Linked DNA regions of Arabidopsis thaliana. The protein of the gene in region 1 interacts with the protein of each later gene in a pairwise test. Each region holds a gene or a part of one and is shown on either strand. Other genes may lie near its edges.

Region 1 (4,456 bases):
ATGTTATTTCCATCTACTCTTTCACAATTTTTTTTGTTTCAGTAAGATTGATTCTCTAATGTTATGTGTATTTTTTTATTTATAATAAGTGACATGTAGCCAAATTATTTTGCTTCACTTTAAATAATATTCAATATTTTTTCATGTAAAACTATTAACTATTTTCAAAATCAACCTTACAATAAATGCTTAGTCCTATTACTTTTGTTTTGAAAATTAATAGAATGTAGGTGTAAAATAGATAATATACATGTATAAATTTTTTAAATATCACTTATTAAAAAAGGATGAAGTATTACGCTTATATTTAGATTTAAAAAAAAAAAACTAGAGAACTAATAAGATTTTTGGTAAAATATATTCTGGTATTAAGTGTTTTTTTAGTGAAAAGGAGATTGATATACACGCGCCAATTTACTGGTATTGATATATACTGGGCCAGGCCCATTTTGGGGTGAGCAGCAGATCCAACTATCTGACAAAAGAAAGAAAAAGAAGTTCTCCACCACCTGACATTTTCTCATTCTGATTCTGCAAATCTAATTGGGATTTGGATTTCAGAGGAAAACAAAATGTGGAATGGGGACTCTTCAAAAATGACAGTGACACTTATTTATAAAAACAAAAGTCTGGTTTCATTGGAACCAAATCGAAGCTTGAAATTATTAAAAAAAGATCCAAAGGCAGTGTTACAAATACAAACTCTTAATGTTCAGACAAAACATCCCCAGAAGACAACAACAACAACAACAACAAAAAGGAAAGCGTCAAAGCCAAATATGAGACACGTGCTTATTCAAAAAAAATCCAAATATAAGACAAATTCTTGTTCTTTTGCATATTCACTGCAACAGAATCTGAGATTGCAGACCCAAAAATTGGCAGGAATGTTCTTGAAGAAGTCTTCTTTTCATCTATCTCCTCAGGGTGTGAAGAATGTACTCAGCGTAAAGATCCCTGTGAATGATTTCAAACATCAAGATTTGCTTAAAAGAAAAGCAAATTATGTAAAAAAGGTAAAAAGAAAAAAAAGTTTACATTGAGTACTGAATGGCTTCAATAGCAGGACCAGGTTGTAGAAAATCATTCACTGCAACTTCCTTGTTCTCATTCTTCTTGTCTGTTATATTTTGGTTAAAGATAGCAAAAAAGAAATGGTTTTGTTTCCTAATCAAGTATTAAAATAGGTTTTAAGGATACAGTCTTCAAAGAATCGACGGATTTCAGAAAGACGATGAGGAGGAAGTTCATTGATGTTAGTGATGTGCTTATACTCAGGATCATCAACACAAACTGCAATGATCTTGTCATCTTTTTCACCCTTTATTTCAACCAAAACCCCAAAGAATTAGCTACAATGGTTACACAAACTTGAAGCACAAGGAAACATGAAAAACTAAAGCTTAGGATGTTACCTGGTCAATCATAGGCATTAAACCAATAGCTCGGGCGCGAAGAAAACAACCCGGAAGCACAGGCTCCTGTACATAATCAACTTTGATAAGAAATTATTTCAGCCATTTCATTTTCTTTTGGTGAATGTTGTTAGAATTAGACTCAAACCTGCATGATAACTAAAACATCTATAGGGTCATTGTCTTCACATAGTGTGCGTGGGACAAACCCGTAGTTGTGAGGATACACAACCGAAGAATAAAGAATCCTATCAACCTGATAGACATATACAAACACTTACGATCATCATATATCCTCAGATCATTCTGTTTTTTCAAGATTTGATATCTTTTTACCTTGATGAGACCTGTTTTTTTGTCAAGTTCATATTTGACTTTGCTCCCCTTTGAGATCTCAATAACCTAATTTCATCCAAAAAAGACAAATGATTAACTCTTTTTCGATCGGATTGTCACATCATCAAGCATAAAGACTTTACCACATTGAAAATCACTGGAGCTCCAGGTCCTGCACACATAGAACAATTTAGTTAAAAAGACTCTAATCAAACACACAGAATATCTTTAAAACAGTGATTATTACCGATTTCAAGATCATGCCATGGATGTGCAGCAACCGATCTCTTAGACAAAGATGAGAGAATCCTCTCGTTTAAACGTGGAGTAGGGTTCTGAAGCTTCTTCTGAGGTTGACTCGTTTTCACTTCTTCTCCATTCATCTAATAAAACAGAGCAAAACAGAACCAAACGTTAGAATCTTGTTAGTCAATTTTCATGACTTCACGTCTAAATCAATATAGAATCTTTTCACTATTGATGCTGATAACACGATCCATCACTCAAAGATTTAACATCAGATTCTACTAGTACGATAAACATCAATCATCTTCAAGATCGAAGTTAACAAAATCTACATAATTCAGCTAAACACTAACAATTTGTATCGAATTTGTTCATTTCTCGATAGATCTTCCGTTGGATACAAAATCCAGAGGATCAAACATCAATACGCAACAAAAGTTGAGATCAAGAACCTTCAAAAAAAAAAGTCGTACCTTAGAATCGTTTGAAGAACAGAACAATCTTGCGGAAAGTGTGGAGAAAGAAAAGTGACGATGATGAGAAAACAGTAAAGCGCGTGTTCTTCAATTGCTACCCATAATAGTATTTATAGAAAGCGAGAAAAACGGATTAAGATTTAATTAATTGGTAAGTAAGTTATTAATTAAATATGAATTTATAATCACCGTTCGATTTCTTATAACCTAGGGCCCACCGTAAAACACTAATCTCAGTCTCTTGAACGATTCTCATACACACACTTGGCACTAACGCTTTAACTATTTAAACTTTTACTGATGAAAAACAAAATGAAGAGGAAGCAAGAAAGCAAATTTTTTTGTAACGATGCCTATCAACAGAATTGCGATTGGAACGCCGGGGGAAGCTAGTCGTCCCGATGCGATTAGAGCAGCTTTCGCGGAGTTTTTCTCGATGGTTATATTCGTTTTCGCGGGTCAAGGCTCTGGAATGGCTTATGGAAAACTAACTGGAGATGGTCCAGCCACACCTGCCGGTCTTGTGGCCGCGTCTTTGTCTCATGCGTTTGCGTTGTTCGTTGCGGTTTCCGTTGGAGCTAACGTTTCAGGTGGTCATGTGAACCCGGCGGTTACATTTGGGGCTTTTATTGGTGGAAACATAACGTTGTTGAGAGCTATTCTTTATTGGATCGCTCAATTACTCGGAGCAGTCGTAGCTTGCTTGTTGCTCAAGGTAAGCACTGGCGGGATGGAAACGGCTGCGTTTTCGCTATCATATGGAGTGACGCCCTGGAACGCAGTCGTTTTCGAGATTGTGATGACGTTTGGGTTAGTTTACACGGTTTACGCTACTGCCGTGGATCCCAAGAAAGGTGATATTGGAATCATTGCGCCTTTGGCGATTGGGTTAATCGTTGGAGCTAACATTCTGGTTGGTGGTGCTTTCGACGGTGCATCGATGAACCCCGCGGTTTCATTTGGTCCGGCCGTGGTTAGCTGGATTTGGACGAATCATTGGGTCTATTGGGTTGGTCCTTTTATCGGTGCAGCCATTGCAGCTATTGTTTATGATACTATCTTTATCGGTAGTAATGGACATGAACCACTTCCTTCTAATGATTTCTAAGTTAGGTTTTTTTTTCTTGTGTCTTGTGAAACAAGAAATCTACAGTTGTAGCCTACTATGGGTATTTTGAGGGAGATATGTGTTTTTAATTGTTTTTCACTACTTTTGTTGTTTTAAGTAATTAATAAATTGATTGGTGGAAAATTTACACTAATTTAAATTAGATTAAACTATTATGTGGGGTATACGTAGTATTCTGCCATACTTAAGGAATTCATGTACAAACGAATTTTATTGGAGGCATATTCTTGAGATTATGCTTCCATGGTGAAAACTGAAAATATATCAAACATAATGGGACCCGCCATTATCAATAATACTATGAAGATATATATATGGTTGGTTGGTCCATGCACGTTCTTTATTTTATTTTTGGCCCAAGCACGTTCTGATATGTGAATCTTAGGCTAATGATTTTTTAGTCGATTTAAGTATTGAACAACACACACAAAAAAAGGAATTCAATAAACGGTACTTCGGTGTCCCGGTGTTTGCTCTAAACGCGTTTCCAAGTTTCTTGCACGTTCAAGCAAAGTGCGATGACGAGATTTGATGATACTCACGATGTATATTCCTCAATAACAATAATTGTGATTAGTATTATAAGTTTATATATATAACTCATCGTGGATTTAGAAGAGTTATGTCAATGGTCGATTGGTCGTATGTTTTATTGTTTTTACCACATGGAAAACTAACTATTTTATGTATCAAGAATTGTAAATAACATGACATTTGCAGATAACAACTATTTGGGAGAATTCTAAAATTCGCTCGATGATTTAATTTTAAAGATCTACACTAATTGTGCTACGTTGAGCAATTCTCTATTACAAGTTAATTGTGCTACGTTGACCATTTCTCTATTTAAAAAT
Region 2 (4,643 bases), on another chromosome or scaffold:
ATGTAAAATGTCTCTAACAACATGTCCATCTACAGATTTGGTTTCGTGTCAATGAGCAGCTTCCTGCTAATTTACAGAAATCATTACCGGATCGACCACCTGAAATGCAATCTACTGGAGTCCATGATGGTATAGTGAATAAAACCTATTTTGGATAGCTTCTCAAAGAAAGATGTGATTTCTTTTGATCCTTATGAATTTTGACAGGCTCATCAAAATCAGCAACTAAACCTTCTCCAGCACCTCGTAGAAGTCCGCCACCGCCGCCACCATCTTCTGGAGAATCAGATAGTGGAGGACCGCTCGGTGCCTTTTGGGCGACTCAGCATGCTAAAACCTCAGTTGTATCAGAAGATAACAAAAACATGCCTAAATTTGATGAACCAAACAGTAACACATCTAAATCTGAAAGAGTTCGTGTGGATAGTCATCAACCCAAAAAACCAAGTCCTGTGAGAGGAGAGGCTCGTGGTATTCAAAGAAATAAAGATCTTGAAACTACGATTTCTCAGAAGAATACAACTCCTGCTGCAGCCAATAACATGACAAGAGTGTCCAAGGATGATGCCTTCAACTCGTTTGTTGCTGACTTTGATACCACAAAGTTCGATAATGGTAATAAACCTGGCAAAGAAGAGGCATTGGAAGCTGAGATACAGAGGTTAAAAGACGAGTTGAAGCAAACAAAATCAGAGAAGGCAGAAATAACTGCTAAGTTTGAAAAGCTTTCTGCTATCTGCAGATCGCAAAGGCAAGAGTTGCAGGATCTCAAACAAACACTTGCCTCTAAAAGTGCCTCACCGTCACCGAGCAGAGACTCTTCACAAAATCAACCCTCTCCAGGGATGCATTCCATGTCATCAACTCCATCGGTATTATTCTTGGTTCTTGTTCATCTAAGCTTAGACACCCATACAAAAGTCTTCATCAATGTATATCTTAGAATTCTAATGTTCTTGATGAAACAGAGAGATAAGATGGAAGGAACAATGTGGGAACTTCAACAGGACAGATCTAACTGGTCAACTGGCAGCTCTGATACAAATTCATGGCAACCTTTTAGTGATGAAGCGAAACCCGTGATGGAATCTGCATCAAAGGGTAACAATAATACGATTAATCAGTCTGTGAGAACCAGAAGTAAACCAGCTTCTGCTGCAGGTACTCAAGGTTTTGAGCCATGGGGTTTCGAGACAGAATCCTTTAGAGCCGCTGCAACGTCTGCAGCTGCTACTTCTGCATCTGGAACACAAAGATCTATGGGCTCTGGAAACAGCACTTCACAGAGATATGGGAACTCAAAGATGAGAGAAAACCAGAAAACAGCTCAACCTGCTGGATGGGCCGGCTTCTAAAACTCACTCAGATGCGCATTGCTATTTCTTCCTCATGCAACAACAACAGCTTCATGTTGCTGCCATTACAGAATCTTGAATCTTTTTGTAGATGATGATCATCCCCTGTTTTTGTGCTGCTGCTAAATATACCCCACCCATATCCATTATGTTTTATGTAGAGTCTTAAACTTTACACATTCTCTGAGCTGTGGCCAGATATCTCAGCTTATGGATTATTATTGGAAAAATAAATAATTCAAGATTCAGACAGCTTACACTTCTTTCTGTGAAACTTAGAACTAAGGTCACATTTAATACCGAACCCAACCATACGATGGCTGCATTATGGTTTAAATGTTACCCAAAAAGATTTCAGCCGTAACTAAATCAGCATTTTAAAATCCTGGATTAATTTTCGTTAATGTAAATCTCACATTGAACCGGACCCGAGTAGAAAAAAGTAAAAAACCGAACCAAAACATTAAATACCGAGCCCTAGTTTAGTTAGTTAGAAGGAACTTAAAAAGAGTTCGTGTCCTGAAAATCAAAGAAAAAGCTACCAAATTTTGAATCGTTGTCTTTAACTTGATTTTCCCCAAATTTCTCAGAAATCAAAATCCGCCGGAACAATGTCTACTCCCGATCCCAATCCCAATCCAAATCCAAATCCTTCCGTCTCTGTAGCAGTATCGACTCCAATCGTCACCGCATCTGAATCTCCGGTGACACAACCTAACACAGTCATAACGCCGTCGTCTCAACCTCAACCTCAAACACCAGCTTCGTCGTACAGAGCCATAGCTCCGCTTCATCGTCATCATCCTCATCAAAATATCTACACTAACCCTTTACCGATTAGGCGTTCGAATTCCGTTACTAATTCGCCTCATCAGCCTCCTCACCCAGACCCGTCTAGTCTGATATACCCGTTTGGTTCTTCGGGTCGAGGGTTTCCGACCCGACCCGTTAGACAGAATTCCAATTCCGTCGCTGATCCAGTTGGTAGTCCTAGTCCAGGTGGGTATACTCCTCGAGGGCCAGTTTACGGATACCACCATGGCCAATTCGTGTCGAATTTGGATCCAATGAATCAGTTCATGAGAGCTGCACATCCTCAGAATCAACAATCTCCTCAACTTGGTTCCGGTCATATGAAAGGAGTTCCTCATTTTTTGCAACCTCGGGTTAGTTATCGTTTTCGTTACCAAAACAAGTTTGAATCTTTTTGTTTAATTCCATAGTTTTGTCAAGTGTTTTTTTTGTAGCTTGTGCTAGTTAGTGAAAATGTGTATGTTGAAGTGAAGATTATTTGCTTTGGTGATTGTAGAATTCGAATAGCAATCTCTAATGAATTAGGAAAGGTTGAAACTTCTGTTAGATATTTGTGTGAGGTTACATTTTGTAAATTTTGGATTTTTGATTGTTAGGCTACTCCTTCTCCAACTTCAATTCTAGACAACAGTGGGCATAAGAAGGCCAGGTACTTTATCTTCTTTGCCATTATGCTTTGTTAATTAGAAACTACTCTAGAAACTTAATAATGTCTCTGTTTCGTTTCCATGGTGTTTAGGAGCCGGGATGATGCTCTGGTCCTCGTTAGAAAAAGAAAGGTATAGTTTTATCCTTGTTTTTTGGTTTTGCATTATCGTTCGAAACCGCTTGCTTCGCCATTTGAGGAATTTTAAATACTTTTTATTTGTTCTGCAGGTTAGAATAACCGAGGGAGCTTCTTTATACTCGCTGTGTCGATCTTGGTTGAGAAATGGTGCTCATGAGGGAATTAAGGTTCGTATCCATTTCTTATTTCTGCTTTGTAGTATAATGCAACACTTGGATTTTTGTATATCTATTCTTGATATCTTTGGAAGATTAATGACGTTGTTTACAGCCGCAGCGAATTGATATGATGACATGTTTGCCAAAGCCTTTACCTGTGGACAAGACGGAGACAAGTTTGCCAAAAGATTTAGTTGAAGAAGCAATTTGCGAAGAAGACAAAGAGGTTTCGTGTTTCTCTGATTTCTTTCTAAAATGGTAATTGTGAAGGGTAAAGCTAAGTTTGATTATTTACTTCAACTCTCTTGATGAGCTTCAGGACGAGGAATCTGTGAAACATTTGTCAGAATCTGATCTTTTGAAAAGACATATAGACCGAGCTAAGAAGGTCCGCGCTCGGTGAGTCCCACAACATATCATCAAAGCTAAGTTCGATGGTTGAAGATTGAATATTTTTTGTTTTGAACAAAATTGTGTGGTTTGTTTTGTTTGCAGATTGAGAGAAGAACGGTTAAAGAGAATCGCGAGGTACAAGGCAAGATTGGCTCTTCTTCTGCCACCCTTTGGAGAGCAATGCAGGAACGAGTAATGATTTTAAAGTTAGGGACTTCGGTGTGAATATACTTGCAGTTGATTTAGAAATGACATAAATTATCTTAGAGCCAGAGTTATGTCTTATGTCTGTGTGTAATATAAGAAAGATTTTCTCTGAATTTTCGTCATACACTCGTATTAGATGATTCTAAACTAATCAACAATCTCAAGATTTTCTGAGATGGTTAACTTATATAGCTCTTATCTTTTTTTTTTTTCAAGAACACCTAGTAGTTCTTGGACAAGTAAAATTTTCAATATAGTATTCGGTCATGGTGGGTCGACCATGTTTTGAACGCTGGATCGATCATCATGTGGTCGGACGATCATAATTTCAGAGATTGATCGACCATCCTTGGAAGCACGAACACATTTAGTCATGTGTTTGAATTTTCTTTTATCTTATTTGTTTCCAACTCCCAAATGATACGAAATGTCACAAAAACTCTTAAAATCACTACATAATCTAAGACTTCCTAAGACACAAATACTCCTATGGACATTAAAACAAGATTTTATCAACAGTGAAGCCATATTATCATCACTGTAGTTCTGAAAATGCCATATTGCCCAAAGTCTTTTCTAGCTAGTATGCCATAGTGGCTAACATCTTCTTCTTTCTTTTCATCTCTCTAAATAAGCAAAAAATTGAGAGGCTTTCTCTTCCTCTTCTATTCCTCTCCAACATAGTATTCATTCTCTCCTCATCTCATCTCTTGTTTCTTTTCAGCCGGAGCTTGTGCCGATGGTTCTACGTCGATCTCACTCTCTCAACGACGAAGAAAACATCCCCCAAAGCCTCCTTCTATGTCCAAATGTAAAGCTTCTCCGCAGCACACAACCTTCCACCGCTGTACCACCACCGTTCCTACTTTTCTGACATGGAACTGAAGCTTTATCAAGTTTTATGTTAAGTAATGTTAATCGGAAGTCCTT
Region 3 (4,824 bases), on another chromosome or scaffold:
ACCTTCAGCTGATGCAGTAGTTGTTCGTAGAACTCTCACAACTCTAACAGAGAAACCACATGGGCTTCCTGGGATTAATGAAAGTCCTGAGCAGATACAAAAGAGAGAAGCATTCTGGTCATCGATCAAGCCTGCTCATTTTGGTGTAAAGATAACGTCCAAATCTCTCTTTGGGATATTCCGATATGTTACACTTGGAGTGTCACTTGGTTTACTTTCCAAGTTCTCCTTCGGAAGATGGCTTCTTTTGAAATTCCCTTCAGTTTTCAGCCTTGGTTGGTTCCAGAAGAAAGGTCCAAGTGAAGAAGAGGTAGAAAGCGCTACGTTTAAGATGTGGTTCATAGGTCGTGGGTACAGCGAAGAGAGTCTAGCTTCACAAGGAGAAACAAAGCCTGACTTGGAAATCATTACAAGAATTTCAGGACCTGAGATTGGATATATAACCACCCCGATAACACTTGTTCAATGCGGTTTGATAGTCTTGGGCCAGCGCGAAAGCCTAGTTAAAGGAGGAGTCTACACACCCGGCATTGTGTTTGGTTCAACCGATATCCAGCAGCGACTTGAGGATAATGGTATATCTTTTGAGCTGATTTCAAAGATCAAGACTCAAGGATAAAAAGAGATCTCTTATCCTGCTTTTCTATTCTGTTTTTAGTTGTTATGTTATGCTTCACAGTGACATTGAAGACAGTTTGATGGTAAGTTGTATTCCAATAATAATAAAACTGTTTCCTTTACGTTTGCTATGGAGATATGTATGTACTCAAAACAGAGAATGTGGTTCTTAAAACTGGAAACAGACCATCTTAATGAAAAAAATGGATGGTAAGAGAATCCCATAAATCTTATTACTGTCTATCATTTACCAAAATTGCAGTCCCTGCTACAAAAACAAAACAAAACATTGTTGAGAAAGTGGTTCGTTTGCTGACATTGTTTGATGATCTCCCATTTGCCTCTGCATTTGTACATGCTAAACACTGTTATCAGCCATTGAAGTGTTTTGCAGGTCTCAGCTGAGCTAGTCAGGCCTCTTTTGTGGCTGAGTGATGAAACAGAACCGTTTAAAAACTCAAGTGTTGAAATCCAATGAGCTGAAAATGAGGCCTCAAGAGAGAGAAAGGTCATCGCGGGAAAGAAACTTTCCGAATTTCGAACAAGCTGGGCCAAAGAGTAACTCCAAGCTAAAATCAGGACCAGATATCGATCTTCCGTTACCACCAACTTTATCTAGCTCTCCTATGGAAAACTGCCGGAGCAAGAAATGACCATTGATAAGAATGTCAAGAGAGAACAATGAGTTTGAGGCATCTGGAGAATTCTTTACCTGAAGTAAGCCATTGGTTATAAAAGCTGTGTTGAAGCAAGTATAAAAAAGGCGGCTTCCAATCATTTTCTGGTAGAATGTGATGCGTATGTCACCACTAACCTGTCCAAGAATCATATGCTTATCAAAATCTTATCAAAAACATTGTCTGAAGAATATTTGTTTTGTGACTTACTCTCACAGGTTTGTCAAAGTAGAAATCAAGACAAGTTTTTTCGTCGATAATGGAACTCTCTGTATCCATCTGAACAACAAGATGTGGCTCTTCTCCGTCTGTTACTTCCTCATCTTCTTCTGAATCACAGTTCACATGAGATATATAATACCGTGGACTCGAACTTCTACAATACCCTTTCTTGAATTGTCTACAACAACCTCTTGCAAGTTCTACAGACGGTCGATACATCTCATTTGGAACCTAACATCATATACATCATCGCATCAAAGTGTATATATCAAACAGAAACAGAGTCTACAATGCATCAAAGTGTATATATCATTACCTCCTGAAGTTCTGAAACCACAAAGAAGACGGAATCAACGTTAGCTGTATCATAAAGTCTAATTCGCAACAACTCTCTGCTATGTTCTTGCGGTAATTTAACCTCGGGAGGTCCTTTTTTACTGAACGAAAGTAAATCTGACCAGTACTTCACATAACGACGTTGGCTTGGTATTGAGACCTGTCATGGTATTGTTTATTAGCTTCATTCTCTATTACTCCATAGCTAAAATTAAGGACTTACTCCATTATTGTTTGTTGTTCTTCTGCTTGCATACATCTCAAGAGCTTCTTCAGCTGACATGCCACCGTAAACAAGGTACGCCGATACCATTAGCCCTGTTCTACCTTTTCCTGCCTGCACAAAGTACATTAGAATATGGCAATGCTACAATGTGGATTTGGTTTTAAGAAAGTACCATGCAATGAACAACCGCGATGTTCTTGGGATCTAATGAGAGCCAAGAATGAACACTTTCACAGAAAAGTTGGATCATTTTGAGGGATGGAACATGATTGTCATCAAACGGAAATCGCTCCACGCGGCCATAAAAGTTGTCTGGATCATAAGATTCCTCTATACATAGATTATAGACCTGACCAAATTTCAATGTTAATAAAAATAGCTAGTTGATTGATGTTTTAATATTAGACGTTTGTTTTATTGACCTTGTAATGATCAGGATGTCGCATATCGAGCACGGACTTGACTTGCCAAAGAGGGTTTCTATAGACTGCTCTCATTCGTTCAGCTGGAAAAGACATTGCCAATAATTTGTCGGAGATGTAAGACATGTCGAGATCATATCCACCGATGATTAACCGTCTTCGTTTCTTGGACACCAAGTTACGTAGGTAAGAATTTGTGGTGAAGTAAGTCAGAATGTGAACCCTTGTGAATTCCAAAGGTGATTTTTCTTTTACAGGCCCTCGTGAGAGCTTGAGACCCATTCTGAAGGAAGAAAACATATCATTAGGTTAGATAACGTACACCACAAGAAAAAAACTTATCATCAAAGGGTTTATATACCTGAAGAATTGATCATGAAGTTGAGGAAGAGATTTTCAGGTTCCCAAATTGAGGGAATTGGGAACCCGAGAAGGAAGAAGATGTCGCGAGGTAATACAAAACCGAAAAATTTCAACTTTTTTTGGAGAAAATGGGTTTTGTTACATGAATAGAGATAATGGTCATTCATAGAAGAAAACGATGAACAACGATGCAATTCCATTTTTGGAGCTCCTGAAATTTAGCCAAGCTTCCCTTTAAATTTAGGTTTCTCTCTCTACTCTTATTTTCTCTCTTTACCTGTAGCGGTTAGTTTTGGCGGGAATGTATAAGGGTATATAAGAAGAGTGATCCTTTTGATTCTTCAATTCTAAAGCTTTCTTTTCTAACAAGTAAAGATTCCATTAGTATGAACAAAACTATATGCTATGTTTTTTTTTTCGAAAGTTGCTATCATCAATGTTGTTAATATTCAAATGTTTGAAAGAAGATTTGTCAATACAAGAGATTGTGTTTTTTTTTTTTTTTCTGACACGGTCATAAGTTTGACTGATGAGAAGTCGTGTTATTCAAACGACGTATCTCATAAGTCGACGCAAATTGCTTTCTTGGTGACCATTTTCTTATAGTTTTGTAACCATTAAGCTAAATTCGTGTTAGTCTTTTCATTTTTGGGATTTTAAATTGAAGCAAAACCTTTCTTTTATCCTTCTTATAATCGACATGAAGATCTCTCTTTTTTTTGCTTTCAATGCTCTCATGTTACTTCAAGTTTGCATCTTAGTTTTTGCTCAAGCTAGGTTTTCAAATGAGACTGATATGCAAGCTTTGCTTGAGTTCAAGTCTCAAGTTACTGAAAACAAGAGAGAGGTCTTAGCTTCATGGAATCACTCCTTTCCACTTTGCCATTGGATTGGGATTACATGTGGTCGGAAACAAGAAAGAGTTACAAGTCTAGACCTTGGAGGATTCAAATTGTCCGGTTCGATCTCACCTTCTATTGGTAATCTCTCATTTCTCAGATCACTTAATCTTGGTGACAACTCTTTTCAAAGTAATATCCCTCAAGAGGTAGGAATGCTATTTAGGCTTCGGTACTTGAACATGAGCTATAATCTTCTAGAAGGAAAGATTCTGGTTAGTCTTTTTAATCTTCTTGAACAAGTTCGAAGGAAGCGTACCAACGAAAGGAGTTTTTCAAAACGGTACAACAGTTTCTGTCTTTGGAAATGAAAATCTATGTGGAGGCGTCATAGAAATGCAACTAAAGCCATGCATTGAATCACCAAGGCAGAAAAAGCCTTTCTCACTTGGAGAGAAAGTTGCCGTTGGTGTAGGTGTAGCTTTGCTTTTTTTATTCATAATTGTGGCTTCTTTGTCTTGGTTCAAGAAGAAGAACGATGTTAGTGGTAGTATACTAATCCATCTGATTCTACTACTGTGGGGATGTTTTTTGAGAAGATAAGTTATGAAGAGCTTTATAATGCAACAAGTGGCTTCTCTTCAAGCAATCTAATTGGTTCAGGCAACTTCAGTGATGTGTTTAAAGGATTGCTTGGCCTCGAGGAAAAACTCGTCGCGGTTAAAGTTTTGAACCTCCTGAAACATGGAGCAACAAAAAGCTTTATAGCGGAATGTGAATCTTTCAAAGGTATTAGGCACCGTAACCTTGCGAAACTGATAACAGTTTGCTCAAGCCTTGATTCCCAAGGAAATGATTTCAGAGCTTTAGTCTATGAGTTCATGCCAAAAGGAAGTCTAGATATGTGGCTACAGCCAGAAGATTTGGAAAGTGCAAACAATCACTCAAGGTCTTTAACATTTGCAGAGAAAGTCAACATAGCAATAGATGTGGCTTCTGCTTTGGAGTATCTGCATGTTTATTGTCATGACCCTGTCGCTCATTGTGATATTAAGCCAAGCAACGTTCTTCTAGACGATGATTTGACGGCTCATGTTAGTGACTTTGGTTTGGCTCGGCTC

What was found. Proteins that work in one complex are often made in the same cells at the same time.
Region 2: the proteins of PPa5 (region 1) and AT2G32840 interact in a two-hybrid assay, tested with the Arabidopsis thaliana proteins (one large-scale study listed by BioGRID).
Region 3: the proteins of PPa5 (region 1) and PTEN1 interact in a two-hybrid assay, tested with the Arabidopsis thaliana proteins (one large-scale study listed by BioGRID).

Annotation. Positions count from the first base shown.
Region 1 is NC_003075.7:624,217-628,672, reverse strand, and holds PPa5 (pyrophosphorylase 5), read right to left. Parts: upstream 2,605-4,456; 5' UTR 2,471-2,604; intron 2,454-2,470; exon of another isoform or gene 2,351-2,453; intron 2,135-2,350; coding exon 1,999-2,134; intron 1,924-1,998; coding exon 1,895-1,923; intron 1,818-1,894; coding exon 1,752-1,817; intron 1,672-1,751; coding exon 1,564-1,671; intron 1,482-1,563; coding exon 1,416-1,481; intron 1,322-1,415; coding exon 1,201-1,321; intron 1,121-1,200; coding exon 1,039-1,120; intron 958-1,038; coding exon 915-957; 3' UTR 603-914; downstream 1-602. Other genes in the region: TIP1;3 (tonoplast intrinsic protein 1;3), read left to right, coding at 2,823-3,581.
Region 2 is NC_003071.7:13,932,160-13,936,802, reverse strand, and holds AT2G32840 (proline-rich family protein), read left to right. Parts: upstream 1-1,853; 5' UTR 1,854-1,966; coding exon 1,967-2,521; intron 2,522-2,764; coding exon 2,765-2,817; intron 2,818-2,907; coding exon 2,908-2,947; intron 2,948-3,044; coding exon 3,045-3,122; intron 3,123-3,225; coding exon 3,226-3,339; coding exon of another isoform or gene 3,340-3,375; exon of another isoform or gene 3,376-3,432; coding exon 3,433-3,512; intron 3,513-3,608; coding exon 3,609-3,702; 3' UTR 3,703-3,964; downstream 3,965-4,643. Other genes in the region: AT2G32850 (Protein kinase superfamily protein), read left to right, coding at 36-129, 208-872, 969-1,355.
Region 3 is NC_003076.8:15,764,210-15,769,033, reverse strand, and holds PTEN1 (Calcium/lipid-binding (CaLB) phosphatase), read right to left. Parts: upstream 2,998-4,824; 5' UTR 2,863-2,997; intron 2,785-2,862; 5' UTR 2,784-2,784; coding exon 2,502-2,783; intron 2,429-2,501; coding exon 2,252-2,428; intron 2,191-2,251; coding exon 2,077-2,190; intron 2,014-2,076; coding exon 1,834-2,013; intron 1,749-1,833; coding exon 1,506-1,748; intron 1,433-1,505; coding exon 1,331-1,432; intron 1,253-1,330; coding exon 1,112-1,252; 3' UTR 680-1,111; downstream 1-679. Other genes in the region: AT5G39410 (Saccharopine dehydrogenase), read left to right, coding at 1-619; AT5G39390 (Leucine-rich repeat protein kinase family protein), read left to right, coding at 3,565-3,912, 4,007-4,243, 4,300-4,824. UniProt on the Arabidopsis thaliana protein: Protein tyrosine phosphatase that also exhibits lipid phosphatase activity. Can use phosphatidylinositol substrates such as PtdIns(3,4,5)P(3) as substrate. Pollen-specific phosphatase required for pollen development.